Arabidopsis thaliana: one gene and its partner. The protein of the gene in region 1 purifies or fractionates together with the protein of each later gene. This does not show direct contact. Each region holds a gene or a part of one and is shown on either strand. Other genes may lie near its edges. The genes, in order: ACLB-2 and AT4G10320.

Evidence for each region.
Region 2: the proteins of ACLB-2 (region 1) and AT4G10320 fractionate together in Arabidopsis thaliana (co-fractionation; one large-scale study listed by BioGRID). This does not show direct contact.

Annotation. Positions count from the first base shown.
Region 1 is NC_003076.8:20,047,958-20,063,618, forward strand, and holds ACLB-2 (ATP citrate lyase subunit B 2), read left to right. Parts: upstream 1-6,543; 5' UTR 6,544-6,788; exon of another isoform or gene 6,789-6,976; intron 6,977-7,073; 5' UTR 7,074-7,090; coding exon 7,091-7,190; intron 7,191-7,269; coding exon 7,270-7,372; intron 7,373-7,455; coding exon 7,456-7,521; intron 7,522-7,610; coding exon 7,611-7,734; intron 7,735-7,810; coding exon 7,811-7,945; intron 7,946-8,034; coding exon 8,035-8,095; intron 8,096-8,180; coding exon 8,181-8,257; intron 8,258-8,392; coding exon 8,393-8,548; intron 8,549-8,639; coding exon 8,640-8,768; intron 8,769-8,848; coding exon 8,849-8,981; intron 8,982-9,130; coding exon 9,131-9,258; intron 9,259-9,369; coding exon 9,370-9,475; intron 9,476-9,561; coding exon 9,562-9,638; intron 9,639-9,722; coding exon 9,723-9,793; intron 9,794-9,877; coding exon 9,878-10,238; 3' UTR 10,239-10,598; downstream 10,599-15,661. Other genes in the region: AT5G49440 (uncharacterized protein), read left to right, coding at 961-1,506; bZIP1 (basic leucine-zipper 1), read left to right, coding at 4,188-4,625; AT5G49470 (PAS domain-containing protein tyrosine kinase family protein), read left to right, coding at 15,659-15,661. UniProt on the Arabidopsis thaliana protein: ATP citrate-lyase is the primary enzyme responsible for the synthesis of cytosolic acetyl-CoA, used for the elongation of fatty acids and biosynthesis of isoprenoids, flavonoids and malonated derivatives.
Region 2 is NC_003075.7:6,394,181-6,411,437, reverse strand, and holds AT4G10320 (tRNA synthetase class I (I, L, M and V) family protein), read left to right. Parts: upstream 1-6,765; 5' UTR 6,766-6,928; coding exon 6,929-7,462; intron 7,463-7,551; coding exon 7,552-7,617; intron 7,618-7,705; coding exon 7,706-8,227; intron 8,228-8,398; coding exon 8,399-8,512; intron 8,513-8,656; coding exon 8,657-8,754; intron 8,755-9,110; coding exon 9,111-9,189; intron 9,190-9,288; coding exon 9,289-9,447; intron 9,448-9,715; coding exon 9,716-9,805; intron 9,806-9,883; coding exon 9,884-10,017; intron 10,018-10,531; coding exon 10,532-10,691; intron 10,692-10,814; coding exon 10,815-10,898; intron 10,899-10,996; coding exon 10,997-11,206; intron 11,207-11,315; coding exon 11,316-11,441; intron 11,442-11,527; coding exon 11,528-11,665; intron 11,666-11,756; coding exon 11,757-11,860; intron 11,861-11,951; coding exon 11,952-12,015; intron 12,016-12,161; coding exon 12,162-12,250; intron 12,251-12,356; coding exon 12,357-12,498; intron 12,499-12,591; coding exon 12,592-12,655; intron 12,656-12,730; and 13 more. Other genes in the region: LHCB5 (light harvesting complex of photosystem II 5), read right to left, coding at 1,942-2,202, 2,281-2,415, 2,522-2,642, 2,741-2,791, 2,881-2,965, 3,049-3,238; AT4G10330 (glycine-rich protein), read right to left, coding at 4,302-4,395, 4,482-4,632, 4,740-4,887; HKT1 (high-affinity K+ transporter 1), read right to left, coding at 15,771-15,984, 16,849-17,082.

The DNA of each region.
Region 1 (15,661 bases):
ACATGAACGTTGTCGTTTGCATCCCAATTATGTAGAGTGGCTTTGTAATAATAAACTAAGAAGAGTTTGAGATGGAGAGATTTACGCAATGTTCTCTATTCTTTGTAACATGATCTCTCTCTTTTAAAGTTAGTAGAGAAAGAATTAACACAGACTTAACTCTTTTCTCTTTTTTTCGAAAAAAAAAAAATTAACACCAGAAAAGAAAATAATTTGGAGTATGTATTTCTATATGGCATATATACTACATATTGCTAAGTTTTATTAGTTTGGAAAAAAAAGATCCAACATTATTAATTAACAAAAATATGATAAATAACAATTAAAGAAAATGTAACTACAAAAGCTTGTAATCATAAATCATCCACGTAGATACGTCATATGTAAGCGTTAAGCAAACTTTTTTTTTTTTTGGTAAAAAGTTAAATTTTATACCATTTTAAGATTTTTGACAGAAGTTACAGAAAATACAAGAACGGATTAAAGCACACTACAGAAAATTAAAAACAACATTACTACTCAAAAAACTTCGGATTGCAGCTGAGTAATTATGACTAAGTTGCGAAGGGAAACACCGATTTCAAGTCCGCGAAACTTGGAAATTTGCGTGATTGCCACAATACCGAAGTATTGGAATCCTCATCGTTGTTGCCACGAGCTCAACTATCTGAGATCCGTCCACAAACCTCGAGATAGGTGCCTACAGATTCTCAAAGAACTAACGCAAAAACGTAAAGACAACCGCGGACTTCTACACTAACTCGTTGAGTTAGTGATGCCACTTAGACCTATCCGCCGCCTCTATTCAACCCTCGGTGAACATAGCCATAACACCCAAAGGCTCACCTTCACCAAATGAACCAACACCGACAACACCATGAACAACAAAACTCCACCTGAAAGCAAACCAGAGATGAAGCAAAAGGGACGAAACCCAATGGACACAGAGAATCCATACCCATGGCCGAAGAGGCTACCACCCTCAACTGCCCACCAATGGAGGAGAGACGTCGACCACCAAACAAAACCCACAACGCCACTAACCACCACGAACAATCCACAAGAGCCAAACGACTCCTTGGATTGCCTCCACAAGAGAAGCCCGTCGGATCAATCACACCATCACCAGAGCTGGAGAAAAAACAGGTAGAGAGACCCGAGAAGAGAAGATCTGCCACACCGAAAACTCACCGTTGTGCCCAAATCAAAGAAGAACGACGATGTCTGAAGAAACATGGCGATGCACCACCAATTTATCAGATCTGGAAGATGGTCCCGTCGATAGGAGCCGCACAACCGCTACAGTCGTCTCATCAAAGCCACTGCCTTAAACGGAGAGAGACACGCCGCACGTCCTTTGCTCCGTGCGTGACCACTCGCCGCATACCACCAACAAGAGACGAAGAGCAAGCCAGATTTGAACACCACCGGAGCTTCAAAGGAGAGGCAGAGGAGATAAGAGAGAGGAAAGGAGAAGAGGGAGAAGCCCTCTCCGGCCACCGGTGAGAAGCACCGTGACCGGAGAGGCACAGATCTAGATTTGGTTTTGGTTTACTGTAGCGTCGTTCTCGCTTAATCAATCGCCGCGCGTGATCTTCTTTAAATACTTGAGTGTATATATGTTCCGCGTTAAGCAAACTTCTCACTCTGTTTATCAGATGTCATCCATAGAAATTGTCTAACAAATTGGATGATGTAATCATCATCATCATCATCATCATGAATCGTGATAACTACGAGAATATACTAATTGTCGGATCAGCAATTATCTATATTGAACCCATTAAAAGATTATAAATGTCTGTATACAAAGAAGTCGAAGACGATAAATCATATATATATATTCTGTACACATAGGTATTTGCTATAACGTTAGAAGGATTATAAAATTCTATATTTGAAACACTTGATTGACTTTCTAGAGCACACACAAAACTACTGTTAAAACAAAGAAAACAAAAATAAGAATGCAAACTTTCTTAATACGATAAACAGGAGCAAATGTTTTTATTTGTTAAACTTGATTTAGTTCACGTTCTTAGATAAATGTGTTAGAATTTGAGAAGTTTTATTTCTGTTTTGTACTTGTCTTCTTAAAATTAGATATAGGGTTCAAAAAAAAAACTTGCATGTTTATTCTATCATTTAGTTTATACACATACATTTTAAACTATAAATTAGGATTCTAATATGACAACAACACTTTTAAAACAAACCACTAAGTTTCAACCACAATTTGGAACTAATAATTAAAAAAATAATTAAGAAAGTTGATAGAGAAATATCAATGGCAAAAAAAAGAGAAACTACAACACTCCCTAAAACCCAAAACATTAAATTTCAATATATCATGTATATGATTACAAATTTAACAAATTTCATAAAAAAAACAAAGAAATATGTAACCAGTAGTTTAAACAATAATGGTGGTAATAGTCAATTGGTTAAACCTATTTAACTCCACATTTTCTACTGGAGTTTGACTTTATTAAATCACGTTATTTGGATAATAGTTAGGGATTATCTATAGATCAGATCTTATTAATGAAAATATGTCAAACAAAAATAATAATAAATTTGTTATCTAAATAAAACTTTTAATATACTTTACCACGTTATAAACACTTAAAATAAAATAACAATTAACAGCAATTTACATGTAGATTTCTGCATTAGTTTTTTCATTTTTTTCTAGTTTGTTCAAAACCTCAAATATCAAGATTGACTCAGACCCGAACAAAAGGTCCGTAGAACCTAAACAAATTTCTAAAACTAGCCAACCAATGAAGTGCATCTACTTTTTTTTTATGAAAAATAATTATATTGAAGTATTTTATTTATCTGATAAATAAATAATGATATATAGTTTATCGGTGAGCAGATAAGGATCGTGTATTTTCAAGTATTATATTAATTAATAAATTATCGCCCATCTTCTATTGTTTTGTATTTTCATTTGAAAAGAAAGCAGGGCTGGCTTATCAATATATACAGTCTCTTTCTTTTAGTTTACTAAAATCATTTCAGATAAGACCCACACAAAAGTAATATCAAATGGAATTTTGCTTTCAACATGGATAATTTTCTTTAATAATAAAATTGTCAACCATGTTAAGCGTAATCTCTAAATCCCCAAAATTAAAAACACTAAAAATAGTCGGTCATTGCTCCACGTTTAACCTGTCCAATTCCAAAAGAACTTCGTGTTTCATTGACGATATAGTTTACGTACGTATGATTCTTTCTAAATGAGGTATTTTTGTCCCATTAGCAATTTAAAATTTAAAATGGTTGTGTAACTTTTTGAAATGCTTAGTAGTTAAAACCGAACTAAGAAGAAATAATGATCGGAACGTGTTTATGTCAGCTAATGCATTACCCACTGACATTAACTGATCCAGTTTACTGATTTTAGACAATCATACTCTATTTTTACTGGAGTTGCAGAAAAAGGGACTTACAAAACGATGAATTAAATTTGGACAAGTATATATACATAATTAGAAGGTTATAGAATCTAGTTTTCGTAGGATATTTCTTGAATTATCCTACGAGTGTGACAACTAAATGCACAACAAAACAACAATTTAAATGCTAAAAAGCAAAAATAGTAATTACTGGTCACCTATTAAGGAACAACACCAACACCTATTTAGCTGTTATGTCCTAATAAAAATAAAATAAAATAAAAACAATAAACCAAAAAAGTAAAAAATAAAAATGTTTGACTAAAATTCTCTTTCTTTTCCGATTCGTCATTCGATGAATCTTCCTTTCTTATACAATTTGGATAATCTTTTCTAATGTAAAAATTCGAGATTTTTTTTTATAATGTTAAATCTATAAATAAGAGCAACCTAAAACGAACAACTTCTCCCACTTTCCTTATTTTCGATCTTATCCTTATCTTCTTCCTTGTTCTATTTCTCTTCTAACTAATCTCTTCTCTTCTCTTAAAATCAAACGTAATCATAAATAAAGATCTTCTTGTTTAATTTCTCTTGATCCTCGCAAAATCACAGATTCTTGAAATTCTTTTTTCTTGTCTTGAAATTCTTGAGTTCTTGAGTTATGAAAAGACAATGGACAGAGTTATGAAATGATAAATCTCAACCAATTCCTTGTTTATCATTCTATATCAGTTGTGATTCTTCATTGGTTTTACGTTATCTCTTGAACAAAAAAACATGGCAAACGCAGAGAAGACAAGTTCAGGTTCCGACATAGATGAGAAGAAAAGAAAACGCAAGTTATCAAACCGCGAATCTGCAAGGAGGTCGCGTTTGAAGAAACAGAAGTTAATGGAAGACACGATTCATGAGATCTCCAGTCTTGAACGACGAATCAAAGAGAACAGTGAGAGATGTCGAGCTGTAAAACAGAGGCTTGACTCGGTCGAAACGGAGAACGCGGGTCTTAGATCGGAGAAGATTTGGCTCTCGAGTTACGTTAGCGATTTAGAGAATATGATTGCTACGACGAGTTTAACGCTGACGCAGAGTGGTGGTGGCGATTGTGTCGACGATCAGAACGCAAACGCGGGAATAGCGGTTGGAGATTGTAGACGTACACCGTGGAAATTGAGTTGTGGTTCTCTACAACCAATGGCGTCCTTTAAGACATGAGATTTGTGTATTAGTGTGTGTTTTACTTTGGTCATTTTATAGTTTTTGTAATCTTTTTATATCGAATTGTTTCTTCTCATTACTTTCTGAATTCTGATACAATTGCATATCTTATTGTTTTCAACATTTTCATTTAACGTTATATGATTTTCGGTGGTTAACCCGAAAGAAAAAAAAAAAGTTTTTTTGGTACCTTGCATGTAAATGGCAGAACTGATGAAGTAATCAAAATTGAAGCAAAAAGTGGGGAAGTAGTATATGTTCTGGTCATAATTGAGTATTACCGATAAAAATTGCTTTGGTAACACGATAACAATTTTTTGTGTCAAATTTTTCAATTTTATGAATAATTCAAAATAATATAGGGCTTGAATGGTATGTGTCTTATTTGCATGTTCATGTGTTTCAAAACGTGATTTTGCCGAGTGTATACCATTCACAATAATAACCACGGAGTGATAAACCGTGAAAATTAATAAGCTATTTTCCAATCTATTTCGCATGTGTTAAATGTATAACTAACTAGTTTAGACAAAGTCATTTATTAAGTAGCTTTTTGGCGTGTTAAGTTTATTCCGTTTTGAATTTTGTCGTCCTGGTGATTCCGCTATTGTATTGTTCAGTTATTCAACTAATGTACCAGTCAAGTCTTTACCCCTTAGTTTAGAGTTTTCTCGTTTTGATGGGTTTGATTGGTATGTGAGATGGATAGCTGAACAATAGAATAACTAAATAATGGTTAGCTGAATGAAATGAACTAAAGAAAGTTTATGTAGAATGATTATAAATTGCTAAAAAAAACTAGTTATTGTAGATTAATCACGTTTCTTAGTTATAATTTTTAATACGCTAGTGCTATATAATGGAATCATTTTTTTAAACATGAAAACGTTAAAACTTGATAAAATTTTGAAAGGTAAAAATAGCGGAATCACGTTTTAAAAACGTGACCACGTGAACTGGTATACGGTAAACCATTCAAGCCCATAGATTAATGAAAATGTGATAATTATAAGATTTTTCTATCTTTTTCAACATGGAGTATTCTAAACGCGTAGGAGTTTAATTGATTTTAAGTGATTTATTTGTCTATAAATGTTATATATATATTCGATGTATAGAACAATAGATGAACTATCATAAACCATAAAATTCAATGATTTCAAATATGATCGAGGTGATTTTTTAGCTCTAGTGATATGTCTATCAATTTCAAGAAAAATCGCCTCCTTAAACTGAAACAATTCGTAGAGCATATCCGTTCTTTGTAGGAGTATGAAATATGCAACCACAAGTCCACAGCAATGGTCAGGAATGAAATATGCGACCACAAGTCCACAGCAATGGTCAGGAAACCTCACAACGGCATAAGTTTATCTTCCCGATAATTCTTTTCGCTCAGAAAATAGACCATATGACAAGTCACAAAACAAAAAGTCCGTAAGACATAGTCTTAGTATGATAACGTTCTAGATCAAGCAAGAGAAAGTGACATAAGTATGCATATATTCGTGTAGAGCTCATCTATATATGCACAATAAATCTTTATCACTTTACTTCAATATATACGAACATAAGTTTTATTGCACAATTGATTAACCACTTTCACTTCCATAAGAAAGTATAAGCCAAAAAAAGAGTCCTCCTCTCTTTCTATCATTCTCTCCAAGTATTCATTAGTCATGTTTCTTTACATTTATTTATGTTTGTGATTAGGAAGAAATTATAACACGTTCTAACTTTTAAAATACTTCAAAAACACATTAAACAATGTTTTGATGAATGCGTGATTCACAATCTTCAAAAAATATTGCTGAATCTTGAAGACAAAACAGCCTATTCATTAACACCACCAGCAAGGACGACATGTTAACGACCAAAATTGCAATAAAATAAAACAAAAGATGTTACAAAAACAAATTTGTAATAAAAAAAAACTGTTAGGTGTTTCTCTTTGTCAATGTAAGATAGAGAAATCAATTTTGGGTAGAAAGAAGTTGTGAACTAACTACCTACCAATAAGCCACATGACTGTGAGAAGCTTTTGTTTCCCTCCCATTTCTCTATATTAATGGTGCTTCCTCTCTAAACCATTCCTCTCTCTTTCTCTCTACCACCATTTATTCTCTCCTTAATCACTGACTCGACTCGGGTCGTGACCAGGTCTGTTCTCTTCTAACAATTCGTAACTTTTTTTCTTAGATCTGTCTTGATTCCGATTCGTGTTTTTGATACCAAAGTTTCGATATTTACGAGGAGGGTTGCGTAAAAATCGGAACTTTTTTTCTTTCTCAATCCCAGATTCGTTAATGGAGTAATGAGATCTGTTTGTTAGTGATTATCGAATTAGTGTAATGTTGCCTAATTTCGAATTCGACATTGAGATAGGAACAATTTATAGCTTGTGGATCTGATCATTGTCTCTCTTTTGTTTGTTGTGATTCTCAGTTTTTTCTATCTGAGCTATGGCAACGGGACAGCTTTTTTCTCGTACCACACAAGCTTTGTTCTACAACTATAAGCAGCTTCCTGTTCAACGAATGCTCGATTTCGACTTTCTCTGTGGTAACATAACAATTTACATTGTCTAGTTTTCAGTTGGTTTGGATCAAGTTTTGATGTTAAAGATGATTTGCTTTTACAGGACGTGAAACGCCTTCTGTTGCTGGAATCATAAATCCTGGTTCTGAAGGTTTTCAAAAGCTCTTTTTCGGGCAGGAGGAAATCGCTATCCCTGTTCATGCCGCGTAAGTTTTGAGAATGTCATGTGAGTTCTTGAGAGGAACTAACTATGTGAAAATTTTGTTTTAACTTGTTTTCTGTTATACAGCATTGAGGCAGCTTGTGCTGCGCATCCAACAGCGGATGTATTCATCAACTTTGCATCTTTTAGGAGGTTTGTTATGAGAATTTCATGGAATAAACTTAGCATTGCCTCTTTGTGATAGTTTTGTTGATGTTTTCATTCTTTCTTCTGTTTTATAGTGCTGCTGCTTCATCCATGGCTGCTTTGAAGCAGCCGACTATTAAAGTTGTGGCAATTATAGCTGAAGGTGTTCCAGAATCAGACACTAAGCAGCTGATTGCGTATGCTCGTGCAAACAATAAGGTGTGTTTTGTGTGATGATTAGCTTCAGTTAACCGTATGGTGAACTTAATTTGTGAGACTGATTGAATTGGTTCAGGTTGTTATTGGACCGGCTACTGTTGGAGGTATTCAAGCTGGAGCCTTTAAGATTGGTGATACTGCAGGAACAATTGATAACATTATCCAGTGCAAGCTATACAGACCTGGATCTGTTGGTTTTGTCTCCAAATCTGTATGTGCTGATTTTGCAAAATTTCATAATCTGCCTAAAGCTCACTTTGATGTCTGAGAGTTTTATTCGTTACTCTTCTTTTCCCGCAGGGTGGAATGTCTAATGAAATGTACAATACTGTTGCCCGTGTGACTGATGGGATCTACGAAGGTGAGTTTTAATGTAAGATAATCTACTAATGACGTATTAAGCTGAAGATTGTTAACACTGTTTTATATTTGGGGGATTGTTATAGGCATTGCTATTGGTGGAGACGTGTTCCCAGGATCGACTTTATCTGACCACATCCTTCGGTTTAACAACATCCCACAGGTATATACCAATCTTCAATTGTTTAACCTGCTGCTCGCTGGAACGCGCCTCTGGTGGTGGAGTTTTGATGTTACAAATTGAACTTATATTCACTCTTTCAATTCATTATGCCTTAATTCAAGAGCTATGTTGCAGATAAAAATGATGGTTGTACTTGGAGAGCTTGGAGGAAGAGATGAATACTCTCTTGTTGAAGCTTTGAAAGAGGGAAAAGTCAATAAACCTGTGGTTGCTTGGGTCAGTGGAACTTGTGCACGACTCTTCAAGTCTGAAGTACAGTTTGGTCATGCAGTAAGTGGCGCGGAAGAACTTTCAAAGCAATGCCTTTTTTTTATCTCTTGTACAAATCAAAATAGTTCTTGAACATGTTATATATGAATAGGGTGCCAAAAGTGGCGGCGAGATGGAGTCTGCACAAGCCAAGAATCAAGCTCTCATAGATGCTGGAGCTATTGTTCCCACTTCATTTGAAGCTCTAGAATCTGCAATCAAAGAGACTTTTGAGAAACTGGTTAGTTTTCCCGTGTTATTCGCTAGCTGGCATTGACTTCTGTTGCAATCTTATGTGTTCTTTTCAATTACTCTTAAAAGGTTGAAGAAGGAAAGGTCTCTCCTATCAAGGAAGTCATTCCTCCACAAATCCCTGAGGATCTCAATTCTGCAATTAAGAGTGGGAAAGTCCGGGCTCCTACTCACATCATCTCCACCATATCTGATGACAGAGGTATTGTTATGGACACTAAACCATATTCTAAGGAGTTGAAACACAGAGAAATTGGCAAATGAGTTACACAGAACATAGATTCATATGCCTCTTTAAGCCCATTTTCTGACACTAAACTACAAAATTTGTCTTCTCATATTAATCTGCAGGGGAGGAACCATGCTATGCTGGTGTTCCAATGTCTTCCATCATCGAACAAGGCTATGGAGTGGGTGATGTCATTTCCCTTCTATGGTTCAAACGTAGTCTACCTCGTTACTGTACAAAATTCATTGAGGTATCAGTTTCTCTCTTTGCCTTTTTAACCTATTCTTTCTCACTACATACATACTGTTACGTAGTGAAATTTGACTCTGGTCTGCAACTTTTGATAATTCTTCTGAATTAGATATGCATAATGCTGTGTGCTGATCACGGTCCATGCGTCTCCGGCGCTCACAACACCATTGTAACAGCAAGAGCAGGCAAAGACCTCGTCTCAAGTCTTGTCTCAGGTCAGTCAACATTTTTTTTCCCCCACAAAACACATAAGTTCTCTTTACCGTCCAACAATCTCTAAGAATGTTAAACCATAAAACAGGTTTATTGACCATTGGTCCCCGATTTGGTGGTGCCATTGATGACGCTGCTCGATACTTCAAAGACGCGTGTGACAGGGTAAAAGGCTATATCATTTTCCCCAATATAAATTTCTGAATCTGAATTGTAATTGGTATTAATAACATTGGTTGCTTGTTTCAGAATCTCACACCTTATGAATTTGTTGAGGGAATGAAGAAAAAGGGAATCCGAGTCCCCGGGATTGGACACAGGTAGAAAACAGAACATTGTACCAAAGAAACAGGCAAATCCACACAGCTTGTCTTGTCTGAAAACTGTTTTCTTCTTTATGGTAGGATCAAGAGCAGAGACAACAGAGACAAAAGAGTGGAGCTTCTTCAGAAATTTGCTCGGTCCAACTTCCCATCAGTGAAGTACATGGAGTACGCAGTGACAGTGGAGACATACACGCTCTCAAAGGCAAACAACCTCGTACTCAACGTTGATGGAGCCATTGGATCTCTCTTCTTGGACCTTCTAGCTGGAAGTGGGATGTTCACTAAACAAGAGATTGACGAGATTGTTCAGATCGGTTATCTCAACGGTCTGTTTGTTCTTGCTCGCTCCATCGGTTTGATCGGGCACACGTTTGATCAGAAGAGATTGAAGCAGCCACTGTATCGTCACCCATGGGAAGATGTGTTGTACACCAAGTAAAACTCATTTCAATCCTATTTTTGTTATTATTCCAATTAATTAGCCTTTTAAAATTCTTCTGAGAGATGTTTACTTAAAAAATGCATATCTATATGCTCTTCTTCTGTCTCTTTTGTTGTCATGTATGTTTGTTCACTTCTTCTTCTTTTTTCAATTATTTAAACTTTCTTTGTCTCTCTTTCTCTGTTACATCCAAATCACCATTTTTTGGGATTCTATGAGTCATGCTCATGCATGTCTATATCTTAATCGTGATTTGTCCTTCGAAATGTTGGTGATCTACCAAGTACAACTACCAAATTGTAGTCCAACCATATCAAAGCAAATATATATCTATATTACCAACTCATAGAATCTATAACCTCTCCTCTGTTTATGGATATAGATGCGTCGACGACGTTCTTTATTTCATCATTAAACAATATGTGATGTTTTGTATTCTGATTTTTCAAGTGATTAGGTTTTTATTTTGCATGTCCAAACTCTTTTTTTGTTAAATTCATGTCTAAACTTATATGAATAAAACAAAACTTCCCACCTATTCCTTCATTAGGTTAAGAATTCGGTTAAGTTTCTATTTTCAGACACGTAATTTGTTTGGTGCCATACTTCTTTTTTTACCAACTACTCTAATATCTTATATGAGGAAAACATATATGTATATATATATATATATATGGTCAAATATCTATATAGATATAGATATATATTTGGTCAGTAACTTAAATATCTTAGATGAGCTAGGGATCTTGTTGTCCACTCGCTACAGAAATTAATTTTGATTAGGATGGGTGTCGAACTGTCGAATCTTCTAAGTATCCGTGACTTGATTTTTAAAAGTTTGGTTATAAATGAATGTATACATGTAGATTTTACAATGACATTATTGCGAGTTTTAATACATGTAACAAGAATGGTCACTGGATTATCCATTTCAAACTTCTTATTTTTTGATTACCTCCACAAAAGAATAATGATGAGATGGAGAAAAACAAGAGAGAGGGGGAAAGAGTTGACATTTGGAGCCAATAAGAGCTTGGACGCACGCGATCACAAGATTTAATTAAATTATTAAGTGTATTCTTAATTAAGCACCTTCATTTCAGTGATGACGACGTTAATTTGCATATTATCAAAGCTATATCGATGGAGAACTAATATTTTTCATTACAAACAACGAAAAATTTACATATATATCAAAGCTAAATCGTTGGGGAACTAATATCTTCATTAGAAACAACGAAAAATTTGCATACTAAAGCTATATCGATTGAAACATATATCTTCAAGGATTATTTTCTTGAGAAGATAGAACATGTCCATCTTCAAAACAAAACCCTGTATTATCATGTACCCGTTTAGATTATTTTGTTTTCAGTACCCGTTTTGTCAAATATGTGTATATAATTCATTTTACTTTGTAACTATATTAATGTAGGAGACTTGGAATTATTTCTGTAAAAAAAAATTTTAGTAAGAGCATGCATGTATCTACTTTATCTTGAAAGTCAAAATTTTCTATTATAAAAAACTTGTTTATTATCGTCAATTCTTCAAAATAGCATACTTCTCAAAAACGGAAGTGATAATTGGAAATAACTCAAGAGAAAAAAAAACGTAAGTAATGAAATAACTCATTGGTGATTCCCGTCTCTGATTTGATCCAGACTTTACTCTCTTCCTCCACGTTAGCTCCAAAGGTGATACTGGACTTGTTAAAATTGATTCTTTGCCTTGTAGCATTACTGTAAATCTTGAAGATATTCTTAATCACAGCCACCTCATTTCTATCCGCTTTACACATAAATAGACTGTCATCTGCGAATAGAAGGTGATGGATAGCTGGTCCATTTGGAGAGAACCTGATACTACTGATGAGGCATTGACATTCAGCCCGATTCATAAGGTGAGTGAGATCTTCTGAGCACAAGACGAACAGAAACGGTGAAAGAATATCTAATTGATTAGAAGTGAGAAGGAGACCGAAGTGATCATAAACATGATCCATTGCACCCATTTCTGATGGAATCTCAGCGCCTCTAGCAAAGCTTTAACATAATTCCACTCCACTTTGTCAAAAGCTTTTGACATGTCTGATTTGATGGCTATGAACTCTTTTGACACAGTTCGATGAGTATGCAACCCGTGAACAACCTCATGAGCTATGAGAATGTTATCTGAAATCAACCTATCAGTCACAAAGGCGGATTGATTAGGAGAAACCAGATCAGAGAGAAAGGGTTGGAGACGTCTAACCATAATCATTGAGATGATCTTGTACAGAACTGAACACAAACTTATAGGTCTCAAATCAGACATCTTGACAGGATTTTTCTTTTTTGGCAGCAAACATAACTGAGTGAAGTTCCATTCTTTAGGAAAGGTACCTTGAAGAAAGAAACTCTGCACCTCCAAAATAACTTGAGATCCTATGATACTCCAATATTTCTGGAAGAAAAAACCAGTAAAACCATCAGCTCCCGGAGCACTAGAGCTTCTTATCCCAAAAACTGCCTCTCTCACTTCATTCTTAGAGACTGAAGCTGTAAGCACTGTATTCATTCCATCAGTGACCCGAGAAGGATAATCTGCAAAAAGATCCTCAAAGCTGCGAGGGTCCGAAGATGTGAACAGTTCTTTAAAATAAGCTTCAGCAATAATCCCTTTTGTCGCCTCATCTTTGTGGAGATTGCCATTAACATCACATAGCTGATTAATATTCTGCTTCCCTCTGTTGTCTTTTACAGAAGCGTGGAAGAAAGAGGTATTCTTGTCACCACTATGCATCCACTTTGCTCTGCTTTTTTGACTCCAAAAGGTTTCTTCATCTTGATTTGCTTTACAGAGATCATTTTTGAGAGTCCAAACCACCTCAGTACTCGGGAAAGCAGAGGACTGTTCCACCTTAAGCGCAGCTCTAGCCTGAGTAATTCTTGTCAAAGAGTTGGAGTTGTTCTCCCTTTTCCACCTACTCAAGGCTGACCGACAATTCTTCAGTTTCTCCAGCACTAAAGGCCTATTCTGACTATGAATCCCATTCCAAGCTTGAGAAATGACTTCTTTCACATTCGGTTGGTTGAAAAGTCTTTTATCAAACCTGAAATTTCCCCTATACTCCTCCGTGATCTTAAACAGTCTAACAAGAACTGGCCGATGGTCAGAACCTCTCTTATCCAAAAATTCTTGAAAAGAAGCTGGAAAAGTCCTGAACCAATTCTTGTTACCAAAACAACGGTCTAGACGACTTTGAATCCACATGTCACTTCTCTTACCACCCCACGTAAAGGGATTACCTTTACTTGACAGCTCCAGCATTTCACAACTCTCCAACATATCTTTGAAGGGTAAGAAAGCAGAATCTCCCCTTCTAGGACCACCTCTCTTCTCTCCATTATGCAGAATGGCATTGAAGTCCCCTAGCATACACAAAAGTTTTTAAACAAAAGTTTTCACTACCTTTTCTCTCTCTAAAAGCTCTCTTTTCTCTCTAAAAGTAAATCTAGATCTCAGTTTGCGTTGGTTGGCTCCGGTGGCTTCCATAGCGCCGGAGCTATGCCTCTCTTGCTCTCCTGTAAACTTTATGGTTCTTTTGTTTGGTTTATGTGCGTTTTAGTGTAGTGATTTAAGGTGGTTCTTAGATGGCTCATGTTGTTTTTGTGGGTTGGTCGTCTCTGTTGCTTGTAGCGCCTCTTGATCCGATTTGGTTTAACCTTCTTCTCGTTTAGCCTATTACCAGGTATGGTGGTTGCTTTCGCTTCTGTCCGGTTCGATCTCCTACCGTTTATCTTCTTCGGTGTGGTTCAGATTGATTTGGTTCTCTCCTTGTCTCTACTCTAAAGATCTTATCGAGATCTCATATGTTCATTGGCTGGTTTCCTTTGAGGCGCTAAACAATCATATTCTTTGATTTTGCCGCTCCGGGAGTGTAGGTGTGACTTGTCGTCTTTGGCCTAGTTCTTCTCGCCGGTATGGATTCCTTGGAACTCTTCTATGTAAGGTAGTCTTCATCGTAATAGGTGGCACCGCTGTCCGTTTGGTTGGGAGTTCCTTATCCCCTACGGAGTGGCTTGATGTAAAGCTCTGCCTTTCCTTTGTCTGGTAATGTGGTTGACGAGATATTGTGTTTAAACATTGGGTTGTTTTGGTTGCTTCTTTGTTTCAGTTTTAAAATTTTTTCTTTGTATGTAAGGTTTGTTTTGCCTTGTTTGCTTCCCTTTCCTTTAGGCTTTGTTTCCGAGATTATCTTTTAATCGTCGGCTTATATTTCTAGGGTTAGTTGTTAATCGCCGGCTTTGTAATTTATCGAAATCTCTATAATAAATTTTCAGACGATAAAAAAAAAAAACAAGAAAATAAATAAATAAATAACATGAACGACAAAAAAAGTTTCACATCGATGATGATTTTGTACTGTAGTTTTGTACGGTCATAATAGAAACAAACAAAGAAGTCCAACCAATGGGAGACTTTAAATTTGAGAGCTTGCCAAAAAAAGATAACTTTTTTTTTCTTGAGTAATTAATGGAAATGGGTTGCATGCAAAATTAATTGCGTGGGGTCTTGTATTTAAGGATAGCTCCTTAAAGTATATCACTACACTAAATCACATATGAGATTTCTAATTTATTGAGCGTAATATGTGTTTGGAGTTATTTTTAATTCGATTAGAGAATTTTGTTAGTCTCCTAGTAGTATAAAATACATTTTTTTTAATAAATAGTTTGTTGAAATTTTTGTGTTTGTTTATCACCATTTTTTACAATTTATCTTCTTTATAAATATTTTAATAATTTATTATACTGAATTATCTAAAAATTAAGGCATTATTTTGGGTCAAAATATAGGCTGCCTAAATGACTAAAATAAAGCAATTTATATTTCCATCTTATCTGTTTTTTAAAAATTTATTTATAAAGTCTTCACTTTTTCTTTTTTAATGGTCTTTCAGAGGAAAAAAACCAAAAAATAAAAAATTGCTTATACCAAACAAGCAGCCAAACTTAAGTAATTTGAAACAAACCATTTATCACACCACTAATCCAAAACACTTTTGTTTGAAATTAGAAAAAATCTAGATTATTTAGTTACATAATCTCCCCACTATAATAAACAACTTTAATCGTTATTCATGAATTAGGAAGAAGAAAAAGAAAAACTCTATAAGAAGCAAAAAACAGAAATTGAAAAATTAAAGAAAAAAGTAAGGACAAACTGAGAAACCTAAAACCAGAAAAAAAGGAATCAAAACAAAGAAAGATAAGCAAATTAGTTTTCCTTCTTTGTTGACTCTCTCCAGATTCTGTTTCTTCTTCCTTAATCCATCTCTCAAGCTTCTCCACCATTTTCACCTTGATTCAGCTTCTCCGATTCAAACTCAGATTTGATCTCCGTTGATTTGATTTGACTGCGTTTTTCTGGCAATG
Region 2 (17,257 bases), on another chromosome or scaffold:
CTGTATCTACACTTTCACTTCTTAGGTTTTGTAAATTTCACCTTCACTTATATATAGTCAAACCCTAAAATCTTCTAGGGCCATGTCAATTCCCTAACACTTTCTCTGTTTTAATCTCTCTGACCACCTCCGTTTTTGTCCATATCTCATGCTCATTGGCCACAAGTCATCGCTTCCACGCCGTTTGTGTCCTACATGTAACTATATATTGCCTTTATTATATTACTCTTTGTCGTTTCGAATTATAGATTTATAATTCTTTGTATTTTTTGTTTCTAGAGATATATATCCGTAAATGTTAATGAGTTTGCAAAGTGAAGAACTTGAGCACGATCATTCTTTAAAACACTTCAATTTTCAATTTTGATCGTTGTTTTCATGCCTTATTTTGCTTTGGATTTTGCATATTCCACAAAATTTTGTCGTTTGGTTTTGCAAGAACTATAGAGAATTGGATGCATAAGAGTGACTTAAATTGCCATGTGTATGAAACTGATCGATTGGAAGGTTAATTATTCTCTACTCCGAGGTTTATGTCAAGTGCTTATATTGGTAAAAAAAATCTTTAATTCCCCGAATATTGCGAACCGGAAATTTGTAGAGCAATTAAGTTGCAGTTCTACTAAATGAGGATGAAGTTATGTCTGTAAATCTAGGTGTCTACTTTAGCTTTGAAGTTTACAAATCTCACTGCTATAGTAATAGTCTAGAGTGTTAGCGACGACTCATGGCCTCTCTAGACTATATGTACACAACATGAAAACCCTAATCCTAAGAAAATCGTAAATCTCCACGAATGGATAAACCTTGCACATCAATGTTATATTTTCCTTAAGTTGTTGTAGAGAATATTTAGTGAATCTCTACAATAACTCGTATCTTCAAACTCTACGCAAAATTAGCTCCCACGTCGTCTTTTACATGTTACATATCATGTCTCTAGTTTCGTCACGTCAGCTTCCATACTCTTGATGTAGGACCGCGAGTTCCAACACTTGATGTGTTAGTTTTACAAATTAAACGAGGGTTTGGGTTTATAAAGATGAGTTCAGATTTAGATTTAATTTTTTTTTTTTTTAAATAATACTAATATTAATAATCAAAACCCCTTTAATGGGCCTCGGGCTGAGGCCTTACAAAAACATAGATCATGGAATCTGACGACTACACCAGAGGACGAGTTCTAATCCCGACGGTGGTCGGAAGTAGAGACGACCTACTTGTTAAAAGTAAATGTAATTGTTAAATGTTGGTTAGATGTGACAAAATATCAAGCAATATAAATGCTTGATTTGCTTAAAATGGTTATCACTTATTGAACCTTTGATCTGACAGTGAAAACATTCTTATTTTGAATCGAAGCAAATGTACATGCCTAGCTAGAGTTTAGAATCCAATTGGGGTTGTGATTTCTGCAACTTCAAAGCTCACAGAGTGAAAACACTAATTTGTGTTTTGCAATCGAAGCAAAATTCACATTTTTATGACACATCGGTATTACTGTATGAGACATGCAATTGTTGAGAGTGAGTAATACTAGTTCTTTACAATGTAAGAATGATTAATTAGTTGTGAAAATATTCTGCTACTGCTCATTGCTATTTGATCTTCTGCTACTTAATATTGTTCAACGGATCACATCTCTCGACTAACTTATATAGTCCCAAATTCCATCACAATATTAGTTGTGAAACTTTTTACCATACTCGCCACTAGTGATAAAATCGCAATGTATGACTAAATTGTGACAGAGCGTTCTTGGTAACAACAAATATTAAACCAATGGGTGACTATGTATATCCTTAGAAGCATGATAAAGCACCATTGAAAATTTGAAATATATCAAGAAGATTCAGATGGAAGTTTTTTTAACATTGTCAAAAGGAGTTCCAATCGAACAAAGTGTACATTTTGGAAGCTCTTAAAAAAAGTAGAAATGGCTTAGAGAGTGGGAGCTCTCTCGGCAGTTCCAGCGATGACGGTAAGCAAGTTGTTTCCAAAAGGATCACTGAGATGCTTTGCAAGGTTCTCAACAGGACCTTCTCCGGTAACATACGCTTGGATAAAGAAACCGAGCATCGCAAACATGGCTAATCTCCCGTTCTTGATCTCTTTGACTTTGAGAAGAGCTCCTTGCTCAGGGTCCTTAGCAAGGCCTAGAGGATCAAATGGACCTCCTGGGTGTAGCTTGTCCTCGAAATCCTACCAAATATTTGCATTTCAAGTTTAGTCATTTTCCCATGAGTAATAGCTAAATGTAGAGACTAGAGAGTAATGTACCAATCCGTTGGTGATTCTGTAGTACTCGGCTCCACCGAGGAGAACAACCTCAGCAACTACGGCGAGAACAAGGTTGATAGGGATGTTCTTGCCAAAGTAGTTCAATGTGTTTCCATCAAGAAGCAAAGCACCAGTCTGCAATCAGTATTCCAAAAAGAACCATCTCATCACATCAACACATTCTTGCTTTGCTAAAGAATCTAAGTCTGAATGTAAATAAAGATTAGACGTAGGCAAGAACCTTAAACCAGACAGCTTCAGGGCCACAGTTAGCGCCATATTTGTTTAAAGCTTCAGGAATGATGAAACCAGCTGCTCCTAACATAGCCCATCTCGCATGGATCAATTCAAAAGCTTGGTATCTACAACCACATTCATTAAAGAACCAATCTTAATGACAAATTCGATAGATATAGCTCAAAGCAAACACAAAAGGTTTAGGATAAAAGAATCTACTTACTTAGCAAAGTTCTCAGGCTTCTTTCCAAGACCAAATGGGTCATAACCATAACTGCAAATTCAGATTCAGACCAATAAACCTTAAGCACAGAATCCAAAAGTAGGCATACATACAAAGAGAGACATGAAAAAGTGTCTTACTCTCCAGCAACTTCACCGTTTAAGTACTCTGGGATCTCTGATCTATCCAAAAGACCATCAGGCAAGAAAATTCTCCTGTCAGGACCTGCATAAGAGTCACAATTACAAACACATTCACAAAGAAACAGAGCAAGAAATGATTATAAAAGGGATTTAGAAGACACATACCATACCACTTGGCGAGCTCATCGCTAGTCTCAGAGACAGCCTTGGACTTAGCAGGAGCTGGCTTTTTCTTAGAGAAGAGAGCAACAGTCTTGAACGTGGATGGGCTTGATGCCAACGGAGCAGACGATCTTGAAACTGCCCTGAAGTTAAGGGGAGTACCAAGCATTTCCGACACACCCAAAGACGCCATTCTTTTAGTCCAAAGTTTCAAGCTTTACTCTGGTTTAACACTAGGAAGAGCTAAGTGAAAGAAGGAGGAAGAGACGAAACTGCTCCTATAAGGTGGAGAGTAGGATTCGTTCAGGATTTTGATTGGTCTGGATTGAAAATGTGAAATATGATTCTGTCCTCTGATTGGTTGTGGATGCTGATGTGGCTTTTAGATTGGTTTTTGTTGGATAATTTATTTTATCCATATCCTCTGTTTCTCCTTTTGTGTGGCTAAGCTTTCACCTATACAGCAAAATGTGTTACAAGAATCTCAAACACATGAAAATCTCAACTGTTAAATGTCATCCACAAGCCTTTCACAGTCCTAGTTGGGGTTTTCAGTAAATTCCTTGGGACATTTGGAATCACTGTGGTCCTGTTTACTACCGTAATGTAGACGACAACCGGAATTTTCATATAGACGTAAAACTCCCAAGCTCAACGGTTAGATTTTCACATTGTATCAACAGTTATGAACATACTCATTACACCAAAAAGAGAAACGAATCATCCGACTAGTCCTAGACGTGAACATACTCTTTCTACAAGGAGTTTCCCACAATTCTATAACATATACATCATGTGGATCGAAACTGAAGCGATTGAGCCGCAGGATCATGTACATAGAGAATACGAAAATTTAATCATCTTGGTTCACAGTGCCGGTTCACACACAGTACTACGGTAGAATCGAAAGAGCTATAATGAATTTATGCCCTTTGGCCCTAGAGCTGAGCTCACTGTGCCACTATACGCACTATTCTACCTCCTTAAACTGAGAGAAAATCTCAAACTCAACCTCCATATTGATCCAAGTTGAGCCATAAAGAACAACTCATAGCACCAAAAATCAGCACTCAAACCATACACATTACCAGAATGATAAATCAGCCACCTAAATTATGCGAATCCATCTTTATACCATACGTAAAATTGTACAAAAAGAAAGGAGATTATCACTAGCCCCAAATCTACATTATTGATCTAAGAACAAACCAAACACTACCATTTACTTGGAAGCTGCAACAAATCCTAAAAGTTCATCATTTTAACCACTTGTCGATTTCATTTGTAGTAGCTTTCACAAGCTTCTTCGTGCTAACAACAAGTTCATCAATCAGTGAATCAACTTCATTCCTGTCAACAAATCACCAAAGTCAAAATCATCATCTTCTTCTTCAAATCCTTAATCACTAAAAATCTAATTGCAGACAAATACTCACAGAGATGGTTTTCCAACGTTGTAATAAGAACGAGAGTGATCATAAGCAGCTCCTCTTCCAACACCATAGCCAAAACCTACACCAATTCCACAACCAGCTCCAAATCCAAGACCAAATTGTAATCCAGGAACTCCTGGTCCGAATCCTACACCTGTTTTCATCAAACCAATCTCTACTCTCTTAAACCAAAACTATCTATAAATAGCTTCGAGCGATTCGCGAGTCTGCGATCAAAATTGGGAGAAATTAGAAATTTACCTCCGATAAGACCGGCGCCGAAACCAAATCCGCAACCGACACCGAGTCCAAAAGCTGGACCAACTTTTCCAATGTCTCTGATCCTAACTTGGGGAAGTTTCCAGAGCAATCCTTTGTCATCGTCTCCGGTTCTTCTTCTGTTGCTCATCGTCCCTTTCGCTCTCTCTTTCGGCGTGGATTCGCCAATACATACTTTAAATGGGCCTATATTATAAGGCGCACTCTTATTTCTCAAGGCCCAACTTCAGCCCAATAGTCATATAGATCTCATTTCACAAGCGATATTTGTTATGTTTATTTTATTTTAATCTTTTGTTTTATATCATAATGAATTTTATAGAAGATATCTGTTATGTTTATATTCATAATGAATTTGTTTTATATCATAATAATATGGATTTTCATTAACAACATTTTTTTTAATACATAAAACTAAAAAACCCACAATTATTCTCAAATTTTCACTTTGTTTTCAGTTACTTTATATATATTTGCCAAACATATTATATAATATATGAAGATTTGTTCTTACATATATTTAATGGATTGATGCCTCATTAGTTTTATTCTCAATTTCAAAACTAAAATTAATAACAAATCTTTCGTAAAACTATTAAATTTTAGATTCAACTAGATTAAACTCCATCCAATATGCATGTTTAATTTTTAAAACTAAAATAAATTTAACAAAAAGATATATTAAAATCTTATTGTAAGTAGAAAATAAATATATAATATTTTATTTTGAGAATTGTTTATTTATATATTCGTTTTTTCCTTATTCGAAAAATATTATACATGGAAATTACTAGTCAAATCATCATCTAATTTACATCTATTTACAAATCTATCGTCTACTTTACCACTAAAAATGTGTTTACTCACAATCATATTTTCTTGTTGAAGTATTCTCATTCCCACCACGTATAAAATGATTATATGAATGCATAAAGCCAACTACATGTGTTTTTATTTTCACTTTCACATAGTTTTTTAACCACTAAAATTATTGATTCATAAAATATTTTGAAAGAAAATATATCACATAGCAATAATTAATGATTTATTTATAAGAAAAACTAGAATAAGTAAAAATTACTCGATCGCAATGAGTCTATAATAAACCAATAAAGGTTGAGAAATTTGATTGGACAAAATTATAAGCACAATGATAAAAGATTAAGGCTTATAGATTCTATCGCAAGTAATAATTCTTTTCATTTTATATAAAACTATTTTGCATTTAAAAATATGTTTATCATTATTTGTTGCATATTTTGTACGAGAAAATTATTTGAAAAAATTCTATGCATGTTTTAATGTTAAAAAAAACTCTGTTGAGTGTATTCACGAGCCACTCAATGTAATTTTTATCTGATGTGAACATAATATATGCCTAAAGAAAAGTTTGAAACTCACCCTTATATTCAGATTGATGTTGTGGACTAATGTTGAAATATATTCTAGTATAAGTTCTAGACCACATGATTTCATATAAACTTAGGTCCAACTTTCACCAATTATTATGAAACATTTGTATTGGGTCTTAAATTTTTGCGACCCATTTGCAGATATTTTTGTTTTGTTTAAGCCTCGAAATTAGCAAAACTACCCCAAAATTAACAAAAATGCCCCATAATTAACAAAAATACCTTATAATTAGTAAAAAGTTCCATAATTGACAAAAAATGTCCAAAAATTAATAAATAAAAATTATCAATGTCTCATAATTAGGAAAAATAAATCAGTTTTTATTTTAGAAAAGCGTCAATTTGTTTTGTATTTGGCCTTGGATTTTAGATTTTAGTACATTTCTTATTATATTAAAGTATGTATATTAATCAATATTAAACTACTATCTTATTGATCATCATTTAACAGTTTATTCATCTAATATTTTCATCATTATTCATCTAATTCATCTGGTTCAGTATATCAACCACCATTTGACAGTTTCATAATAGTCAAAATATTTTCCTTCTTCCTTAAATCGATTTTTTAATACCAATAAGTGGAAGTTTGACCCAAAAAGAAAACAAACAAGTTAATGGGCTTACTACGGCCCATTAATAAACAAAAACGCACCAAAACTTCATCTTCAACGCCGGGGACTTTGATATCATCTGCGCCGAACAAAAACTCTGCAGAAACCCTAATTTTCGTCAGTGATTGATTCTTCCGTTTCCACCATGGAAGAAGTATGCGAAGGAAAAGAATTCTCATTCCCTCGTCAAGAAGAAGATGTCCTCTCCTTCTGGACTGAAATCGATGCTTTCAAGACACAGCTCAAACGCACTGAGAATCTTCCTGAGTACATCTTCTACGACGGACCTCCTTTTGCCACCGGACTTCCTCACTACGGACATATCCTCGCTGGTACGATTAAAGATATTGTGACTCGGTATCAGACCATGACTGGTCACCATGTCACTCGTCGGTTTGGGTGGGATTGTCATGGCTTACCTGTTGAGAATGAGATTGATCGGAAATTGAATATTAAGAGGAGAGATGAAGTTATTAAGATGGGAATTGATAAGTATAATGAAGAGTGTAGGAGTATTGTGACTCGTTATGTTGCTGAGTGGGAGAAGGTTATTACTAGGTGTGGTCGTTGGATTGATTTTAAGAATGATTATAAGACTATGGATTTGCCTTTTATGGAAAGTGTTTGGTGGGTTTTTTCTCAGCTTTGGGAGAAGAATCTTGTTTACAGAGGATTCAAGGTTTGTTTGGCATTCTTCTTCCTGCATTGATGTGGTTTTGAAGTTTCGTGGATCGTGATTTTTGTATTTGGGTCAATTCTGGTTTGCAGGTTATGCCGTACAGTACTGGTTGTAAGACACCTTTATCTAATTTTGAAGCTGGTCAGAACTATAAGGTAATGTTGTTGTTATTGTGTTCTTCAGGTGATTGATTTGTGTTGTATAGTTTGATCTCTGATATTGGTAGAATGTGTGTATGTACAGGAAGTCCCTGATCCTGAAATCATGGTGACTTTTCCGGTTATTGGGGATCAAGATAATGCTGCTTTTGTGGCATGGACTACTACTCCGTGGACTCTTCCAAGCAATCTTGCTTTGTGTGTAAATGCGAAGTTTGTCTATGTGAAGGTTCGTAACAAGAACACTGGAAAAGTGTACATTGTTGCTGAATCTCGGTTGTCTGCTCTTCCCACTGATAAGCCTAAGGCCAAGTTAAGTAATGGACCTGCTGGTGATACTAAGAAAGCAAATCCTAAAGCTAAAGGTGCTAAACCTGAGAGTGCAGCTGATTCTTATGAAGTTTTGGAGAAATTTAATGGAGCTTCCCTGGTTGGGAAGAAGTATGAACCTTTGTTTGATTACTTTAGTGATTTCTCAAGTGAGGCCTTTCGAGTAGTAGCAGATGATTATGTCACTGATGACAGTGGTACTGGTATTGTCCACTGTGCTCCTGCCTTTGGTGAAGATGATTATCGTGTTTGTCTTTTGAACAAAATAATCAAAAAGGTTAGGTTTGACTACATCTTCCTTATCACCCTTGCTAACATCAGGCATGAACTTTGCTCATTTGTTGTTTCTCTCTTGTTTAGGCTTACAGTATCTTCAAGAACCCATTCTCAGTTTACTCTAATAATCTTGCTTTATCTCATTGTGTTAAATGTTCTATATATGTTGCAGGGGGAGAATCTAGTTGTTGCTGTTGATGATGATGGGTTGTTTACTGAGAGAATTACCCACTTCAGTGGCCGTTATGTCAAAGATGCAGACAAGGATATAATTGAAGCCGTTAAGGTGATTACCGATGCTTGATAATTAGTCAGTTCAGATCATAATGATTTATCTGTTTCTTAGAGAATCTAAGTGCTTTTTGGACCATTGGATTTCTTTACTGTAGGTGATTTGTTTCATGAAGTAATATTATTTTTATTATTTCAGGCCAAGGGCAGGCTTGTTAAAACGGGAAGCTTTACTCACTCATACCCATTTTGCTGGCGATCAGACACCCCACTCATATATAGAGCAGTTCCAAGTTGGTATGCTTCATTTTCATATGAGTTTGAGCTAAGGTCTTAGTAGTTGGATCATTTAGTGCTAGTTCCAGTGAGACGGTCTCTCTTGTCCTTGCCTTGAACTTTGGCTCTTATGATTATATCTGGCAGCCCCTTTTCGGAGCTGTATTAGGTATCTTTGTGTATTTTTTTTGCAGAATAATCACCAAACTGTTTAGGATATTTTGATTTCCCATGTTTTCATTTATTTATTTTAGATTTCATATGTAGCATCTGACCTAAATGGCACGTAGTTATGGTCATAACTTATGAACTTTATTCTGTCGTTTTTCAGGTGTGGTTATGACTTTAAAGTTTTTTTTTGTGTTTTGACCTGTTAGGTTTGTGCGTGTGGAGCAGTTGAAAGAAAAGTTGTTAAAAAGCAATGAACAGACAGAATGGGTACCTGGTTATGTGAAGGTCGGTAGAAGAAAGGATCAGTACTCTGAGTATATATTACTAGTTCGTTTTGTTAAGTTTCTGATATGAATACATTTTTTTGATTAATGTGCAATTCAGGATAAACGTTTTCACAATTGGCTCGAAAATGCAAGGGATTGGGCAATCAGCCGAAGTAGATTTTGGGGCACGCCTCTTCCGATATGGATAAGTGATGATGGGGAGGAAGTTGTGATCATGGATTCCGTAGAGAAGCTTGAAAAGCTCTCTGGTGTTAAGGTCTCTTCTTTTGTTTTATTTACATCTCTCTTTATATCAGCAAATAGCTCACTGATGCTTTGGGAAAGTCTACTGTCATGATCTCGGTACCTTTATATGCAACCATTTGCTACTACTCAACTGTTGGATAAATTTTTCTAGAAGTCTTCCTTATATGTTCTGTCAACTTTATGACACTCTATGAGGGTTTGGTCTTTATTTAGTACTGGAGAATGTAGTTGTCAAAAAGTCTAATACTCATTTGTTTCTCTGATGATTTATGGTACAGGTCTTTGACCTGCATCGTCACCATATTGATCATATTACAATTCCATCTAGTCGTGGCGATGAGTTTGGTGTGCTCCGTCGTGTAGAAGATGTAAGATGAACCAATTTCTTTCATTTATCACTTATCCGGGGTCTTATCCCAAGCTTAAGTTTATATACGCTTTTACAGGTTTTTGATTGTTGGTTTGAGAGTGGGTCAATGCCTTACGCGTATATCCATTATCCGTTTGAAAACAAGGAGTTATTTGAGAAGAACTTTCCTGGTGATTTTGTGGCTGAAGGTCTTGATCAGACTCGTGGATGGTATGTCATTCCATATCTTGACTGTGGGGAGAAATATTAGTTAAGCTTTAGCATTTAAAATTATTGGATTGATATTTTGGTGGTTACGTGATGAAAAAAGGTTGCTTTTTATTAAGGTCTTTGAGAATGGAAATAAACCTTTTACCTTGTAGTATTGCAAATCTTAGTTAGTGTTTATCATGTCAACCCAAGATAGTTGCAAAAAACCCATATCATTTCAGTTCTCATATTTTTTCAAGAGTGGATTTCTACATTGATATATCCTATAAGCTCTTCTGACAAATTATTTCTTGCTTATCTCTGGGTTTGTTCCGTCCCTCTACTTTATGATATCTGGATCTTAGTTACCTCAATGATTGCACTTAATTAAGTTATGAGTCGATGCTAAAGGAAGGTGTGATCAATTTACTATGAAATGTGATTCTAGAAGTGTTTTGAAACGGGCATAATAAACAATATTTTTTTCCTAAGTAGAAAATAAATAGTTACTAAACTTGTCGCTGGGTATCTACAGGTTTTATACTCTTATGGTGTTGTCTACTGCATTATTTGAAAAACCAGCGTTTAAAAATCTGATTTGCAATGGTCTTGTACTTGCTGAGGATGGGAAAAAGATGGCTAAGAAATTACGGAATTATCCACCACCTTTGGAAGTCATAGATGAGTATGGGGCTGTAAGTTTTCCCTATAATATGCTCTTGTGCTGCGTTTTGAGCTTTTTCAAATGTTCTCTAGCTAAGAAAATCTTGGCAGTGTGTGTACGTAATAACTTAGTGACTTTACATGAACCTTGATAGGATGCTGTGCGATTGTACCTGATAAATTCTCCGGTTGTACGTGCTGAGCCACTACGCTTCAAAAAAGAAGGAGTACTCGGTGTTGTGAGTGATTTTGGTGGTTGAATTTATTGCTGCTTTATTGCTGTTTATTCGTGGTTGTTGTCTGAATTTTTTTCTGGTCCTGCATTGGGATTCACTAGGTCAAAGATGTATTCCTTCCATGGTACAATGCATATCGGTTCCTCGTTCAGAATGCAAAGAGACTTGAGACTGAAGGTGGTGTGCCCTTTGTTCCTACTGATCTGGCAACTATACAGTCAGCAAACATTCTTGATCAGTGGATTCACTCAGCTACGCAGAGTCTTGTTCGTTTTGTCCGCGAGGAGATGGATGCCTATCGGCTTTACACTGTAAGGTTTTTACATGTTATTTTCAGCATGATATGGTGTTCGCATTAGAAAACCGCCATCACTGTCTCCTGGTATTTATTACATCTTGGTTTTTGTTTTTCTTGTTTAGGTGGTTCCTCGTCTCTTGAAGTTCCTCGACAATCTCACTAACATATATGTCAGATTCAACCGCAAGAGATTAAAAGGCCGTACGGGGGAAGATGATTGTCACACTGCTCTTTCGACTCTATTCAATGTATACTAAAAATAGTTGCAGAGATATATTGTTTGTGGTCACCATGATTTGAACACTTGTTATATCTAATTATTGTCTATTTTCAGGTGCTCCTTACTTCTTGCAAAGTGATGGCCCCGTTTACACCTTTCTTCACTGAAACTTTGTACCAGAATCTGCGGAAAGCGTGTAAAGGTTCTGAGGAAAGTGTTCACTACTGCAGTATTCCACCAAGGGAAGGAATGGTAAGACTCAAGTCCACGTCTCTATATCCAATAAGAGAATAAAAGTAATCTGAATTTTGCCTGCTTATATTTTCTTTCTGTGTTTGAATAGGAAGGGGAGAGGATTGAGTTAAGTGTTACGAGGATGATGAAAATCATTGATCTTGCTCGGAACATTCGTGAGCGTAACAAACTACCCTTGAAAACTCCTCTAAAGTGAGTGTTGGTACTTGATCGTTTTCAGTTTCTGCTTTGTTAACCTAAAACATGAAAAAAAATTCACACATGCTTATCCTTGTTGTATCAGGGAAATGATTGTAGTCCATCCCGATGCTGATTTCTTAAATGACATAACTGGAGTACTAAGAGAGGTCTGTGGTGTTACAGGAACAGTAGTTTATCTTCTTGAAGTTTTAACTAATATTATAAATATGAAACTTTTTGAGATTATTGAGAACCATTTGATATCAGCCAATGATAGCTATGTGGATTTATCCTGTTTAATTTTGCATTGCAGTATGTCTTGGAAGAACTTAACGTGAGATCGCTTGTACCATGCAATGATACTCTGAAGTATGCATCACTAAAAGCAGAACCAGATTTCAGGTTGGTTAAGTTTTCTGTCTGTGTTTTTCTTTAAACCGCTGAGCTCAATGTGCTTTAGCCTTTCCAAAGGGATGTAGAGTGAAATTTTACATGTTCATTCCTGCAGTGTATTGGGAAAGCGACTTGGAAAGTCGATGGGGCTTGTTGCAAAGGAAGTTAAAGAAATGTCTCAAAAAGATATCTTAGCATTTGAGGAGGCTGGGGAAGTTACTATTGCTAACCACTTGCTAAAGGAAACAGATATCAAGGTCTCTCATGCTATGATGTTTTCCTGTGAGATAGCGTTAAGAGTATGTTGTTAATAGCTAAATTCTGACACATATCTTTCATGTGTTGTTCAGATTGTTAGGGTTTTCAAACGCCCAGACGATTTGAAAGAGAATGAGATTGATTCAGCTGGAGATGGTAAGAAGCGTAATTAATTATCACTTCTCTGTTGGTAGGATACACATATAATACTTGCTTTCTTTCATGATGCAGGTGATGTTTTGGTGATTCTGGATCTACGAGCAGATGATTCTTTGGTTGAAGCAGGTTTTGCCCGTGAGGTAAAGATATATAACTTCTCTAATAGTGTACTAGTCCTAGATGAAACCAAAGCAATACATTTTCTTATAACTTGTATATCTTCTGTGGGGTTCTTCTTCAGTATCTTAATATTTTATTTGCATATAAAGCGATGTTGTGCTTATGAGCTTAGTTTCCCTGTGTTAAAGATTGTAAACAGGATCCAGAAACTAAGGAAAAAGTCAGGTCTGGAACCAACAGACTTTGTGGAAGTGTACTTCCAATCATTGGACGAGGATGAATCTGTTTCTAAACAAGTTCTAGTCTCTCAGGTAACTAGTTTTTGTTTGTTACTCAATTCATCTGAACTTAAATTCTACTTGAAATTTACGAATGTTTCATTGCTTGTACGTAATTATTTGTTCAGCTATGGATCAAACGAAAATTTATGTTTCCAACATGAATGTCTTCAACCACATGCCTTAATTCTGTCTCATCACTGTTGTTTGTTGAACAGGAACAAAACATCAAGGATTCAATTGGCTCCACTTTACTTTTGTCTAGTTTAATGCCATCACATGCAGTAAGTCATCAACACTCCCATATCTGCTTATTTATTTGCACGGCAGAAGCTTAATGTTTATCCTCCTATCTTTTATGTAACAGGTCATAATAGCCGATGAGACATTCACCCCAAAAGAAACATCCGATGAGAGTGTCAAAAAGGTTCCAAAGTTGTCGTATAAGATAAGTTTGGCTAGACCGGCTTTGAAGTTCAATGAAGAGGCTGTTCTTGCTTTATACTCAGGTGAGTCACCATCTCATCACAATAGATTCTCACTGTCAATTCTCTCTCGCTTTCTGTTTAACGTGTATATTTATGGTTCCAGGAGATGTGAAATCTGCAACCGGGCTTCAAACATACTTGTTATCAAGGGATCATTCGAATTTGAAGTCAGAGTTCCAAGCCGGAGATGGGAAGGTTCGTTAGTTAAGCTTTTGTTAACCCAAATCGTTTACTTTATCATTTTAATGTATCTTGTATGGCAGATAACTGTAAGCTGCATTGAAAATGTGCCTGTTGCGACTGTGGTTCTTGGCGAACATCTCCATTTGAGTGTCGGCGATGACTTATTGAGCAAGAGGAACGCATGAGCCGTCCCTCCGGTTTTGTTTGATTTATTGTGGTAACTTGGGATTTATTTCCCTTATTTTTCTTCTTCCATATCTTACCTATAAACTACTTATTTAGATTGTTGCAAAAAGTTAAATCTCAGTGTTGAGACTCTCTTTTACTCGTTCTATTTGTACAATACTAAACTTTTATTCATCTCAAAATTTATGGTTGGACAGATATGTGATTGAGTCCAGTGACCAAAGTTGAACATTGATTTTAGTACAGAGAAGGCAAGAATCTTGTTAAAATCTGAAATTACCTTAACAAAATTTGATTAATGTTTCGGTTGTCATTTGGGTCTTAAAACCATGGGATTCCTGATGCCTATGTCCATTTAATTATGGTCAGCTTTTGGACAAGCGACATGGGCAGCCCATAGTTTTTAATATTACACTTATGAAGTATTGTACTTATATTTTTAATATTAAACTTATGAAGTATTGAAATTATATCATTGTGTGAAACACTTAAGACTTAAGTATGGAGTTTTGAATAAATGTGTTCATGATATCATGTATTATTTGGATTCATGGACTGTCCAATCTATTATGGTTCTTTTTAGGTTTCGTCTAATTTAGACATTGCTCATTTGGGCATGGACAACCCATTTGATATCCTACCTTTAAAGGATCCAGATTTTCGTTAAAAGCATTGAAGGTAACATTAAATCTTAGAAACTATGTCTAGAGAGATCAGAGATGTGTTAGTCAAGTGACAAAAAAAAAATCTGATCATATTCGTTCATGGAAGAGACCCATTGTCAAATCATGCTTCCTTTACCACCCTTCACCAAAGTTACGTGCACTTAATTTACGCCATTTAACTTCATTTTTATAATTATGTTTTCATACATTTCGAAATTGTTTATAAGCAAATCAAATTTGAAAATAAAGCAATTAAAAAAATAGATATGATATTAAGATTAAAAAACATAAAGTAATAAACTTAATTAGACCTATATTTTAGATTTTGGTTAGCATTTTTTTTTTTTTTTGCGGATTTATGCTAGATCGGTTTTGAGAATCAGGGTCTTACTAACATGTGTAGTTTCAATATTAATCGATCAGAATCAAGGTCATACGTTCATCATCATCACATATATATTTCCGTAATATTTTCTAACTTATTTTTCTTATCTATAAGATCTTAACTAAAAACGATAAACATGTGATGATCATGATACGTTTGTGGTATATATATGTTCATGATCATTTACTTGACTCGGCCATCAGCCAATTCTTTTTATTCACGACACAAAAGTAATGAACAATGCACGGATTCTTCGAAATGAAAGAGGATCCGTGGCACAAGCTTCTAGTTTTAGGATCCTGCACTTGAAATACAAGGTTCCTTTACCTAAAAAAAAGAGAGAGAGTTGTGGATGAAACATATGGAAGGAGATTTGCAGTTTCATCATCGAAACATGATATCTGGATCTGAACATGTATAAAAGAAGACATGTGTGTCAAACTGAGAGTGGAGATGTGTTTTGCCTCCTCCCATATTAGCAATCACATATATTTCTTTATTCAATTCCATTATGTTTTTTTTGGTTTTTGTTTTTAAGTAACTTTCCTGTATATATATTACTGATTGGTTACTATTTGTACGATACATATCAAACAGATAAAGTTTAATTTTTCGAATTACAAGTTACAACAGGAAACACAAGATGACACACAATACTCCTTATATTATATCTTCATACATTATCATAATATTAACGAGGATTAACGATGATGCAAACTACATACAAACTTATTGTACATCACTCACAGAAAAGGAATGCTAAAAGTGACTAATTTTAATATAACATTTATATATGATCGAAATATGTTAGGAAGACGAGGGGTAAAGAATCCATGCGCGGCCAGATTTGGCTGTGAACTGCTTAAACCTACCATAAAACATTACTATTATTAGTACGAATTTTCCCATTGGACTCCATCGTCCTGCAAACCCATAACTCGCGTCTTTGCAGCCACCATCGCTGATGTCCACACGCCGTTCACAGCTGTACCCGGTAGTGAAACCAACGTTTCCATATGCACTGCCATTACAAAACTTATTTTGTTGATAATTCTTAACTTCTAATTCACAATCAATTCATAATGAGTGAATTATATATATATATATATATTATATATATATATATGTTTCTTTTTATTTTATAAATTTATACTCGATAAATTAATAACCTCTATAAATTAATAAATTCTTCCGGTCCCGAGTTGGGAGTAGTATAAAAAATGACATAAATCGATAAATTAATTAGATAATAATTTTTTTGAAAGTCCTATGTAAATATATGGTCCATCAATATCAGAAATTAATAATTGCACAAATATATCAACTATATATATACATTATATGTAAGAAATTTCTTAAAAATATATTTCTGATATTTTTTTGCTTAAATTTGTATATATTCTTATTTGAAATTTAGTTCTAATATTTTACTATATCAAAACATATTGGTGTTGTTTTCTATACATGATATTATTTTTTACTTGTAATTGATTTTAGAAAGATATTTTCTATAATGAGAAATTTTTTCAAAGTTATTAAATTATGAAGATCTCTCTATTAATTTATTAATTTATCGATAAGTAAAAAATCTCTCTAAATTAATAAAATTTTGCAGTCCCAACATTATTAATTTATAGAGATTTTACTGTATATATGTTTCTTATACGATTTTATTCACGTCCTCTTTTTTTGTTAGGTGAATTACGAATACTTGGGTTGTCAAATTGTAGAATAATGTATCACCTAGATGACGTATTTTGTTTGAAAATATTTTGAAATTTTTAGTTATTATGGATGCATGATATGTAATATAGAGATTTATATATTGCTGAAACAATTTTTTTATTTGGTTTTGGTTAAAGAATCTTGAGATATAGAAACATACCTGATAACTTCGAGAGTGATGTTAAGGACGTTGAAATTTATCGGATCACGTTGTAGATTTTGCCTTTCGGTGATTGAAATGAGAAAGATACATATCGTCAAAAAGGAAAGTTGTGACACGATGAGTCCACTCTTTTTAACTTTCTTTCCATTTTCGGAATCATCATCTCCTCCTTCTTTCTCTATCGTCTTTTGTTCCGTCAACGGCATAAATAAAGTGTATGGAGGAAGATACCTTGGAAACGCAATTATATTTTACTTTTTAATTAGTCCAAAGAAGTTTTTATGGAAAAACAGAGAATAATGCTTTGTGAATATGATGAAGGGACATTCTCCAGTCTCCACTACATTGAAGGGACATTTTTTTTTTACTGAATCTAAAACCATGGACATATATTCTGATTCACTCT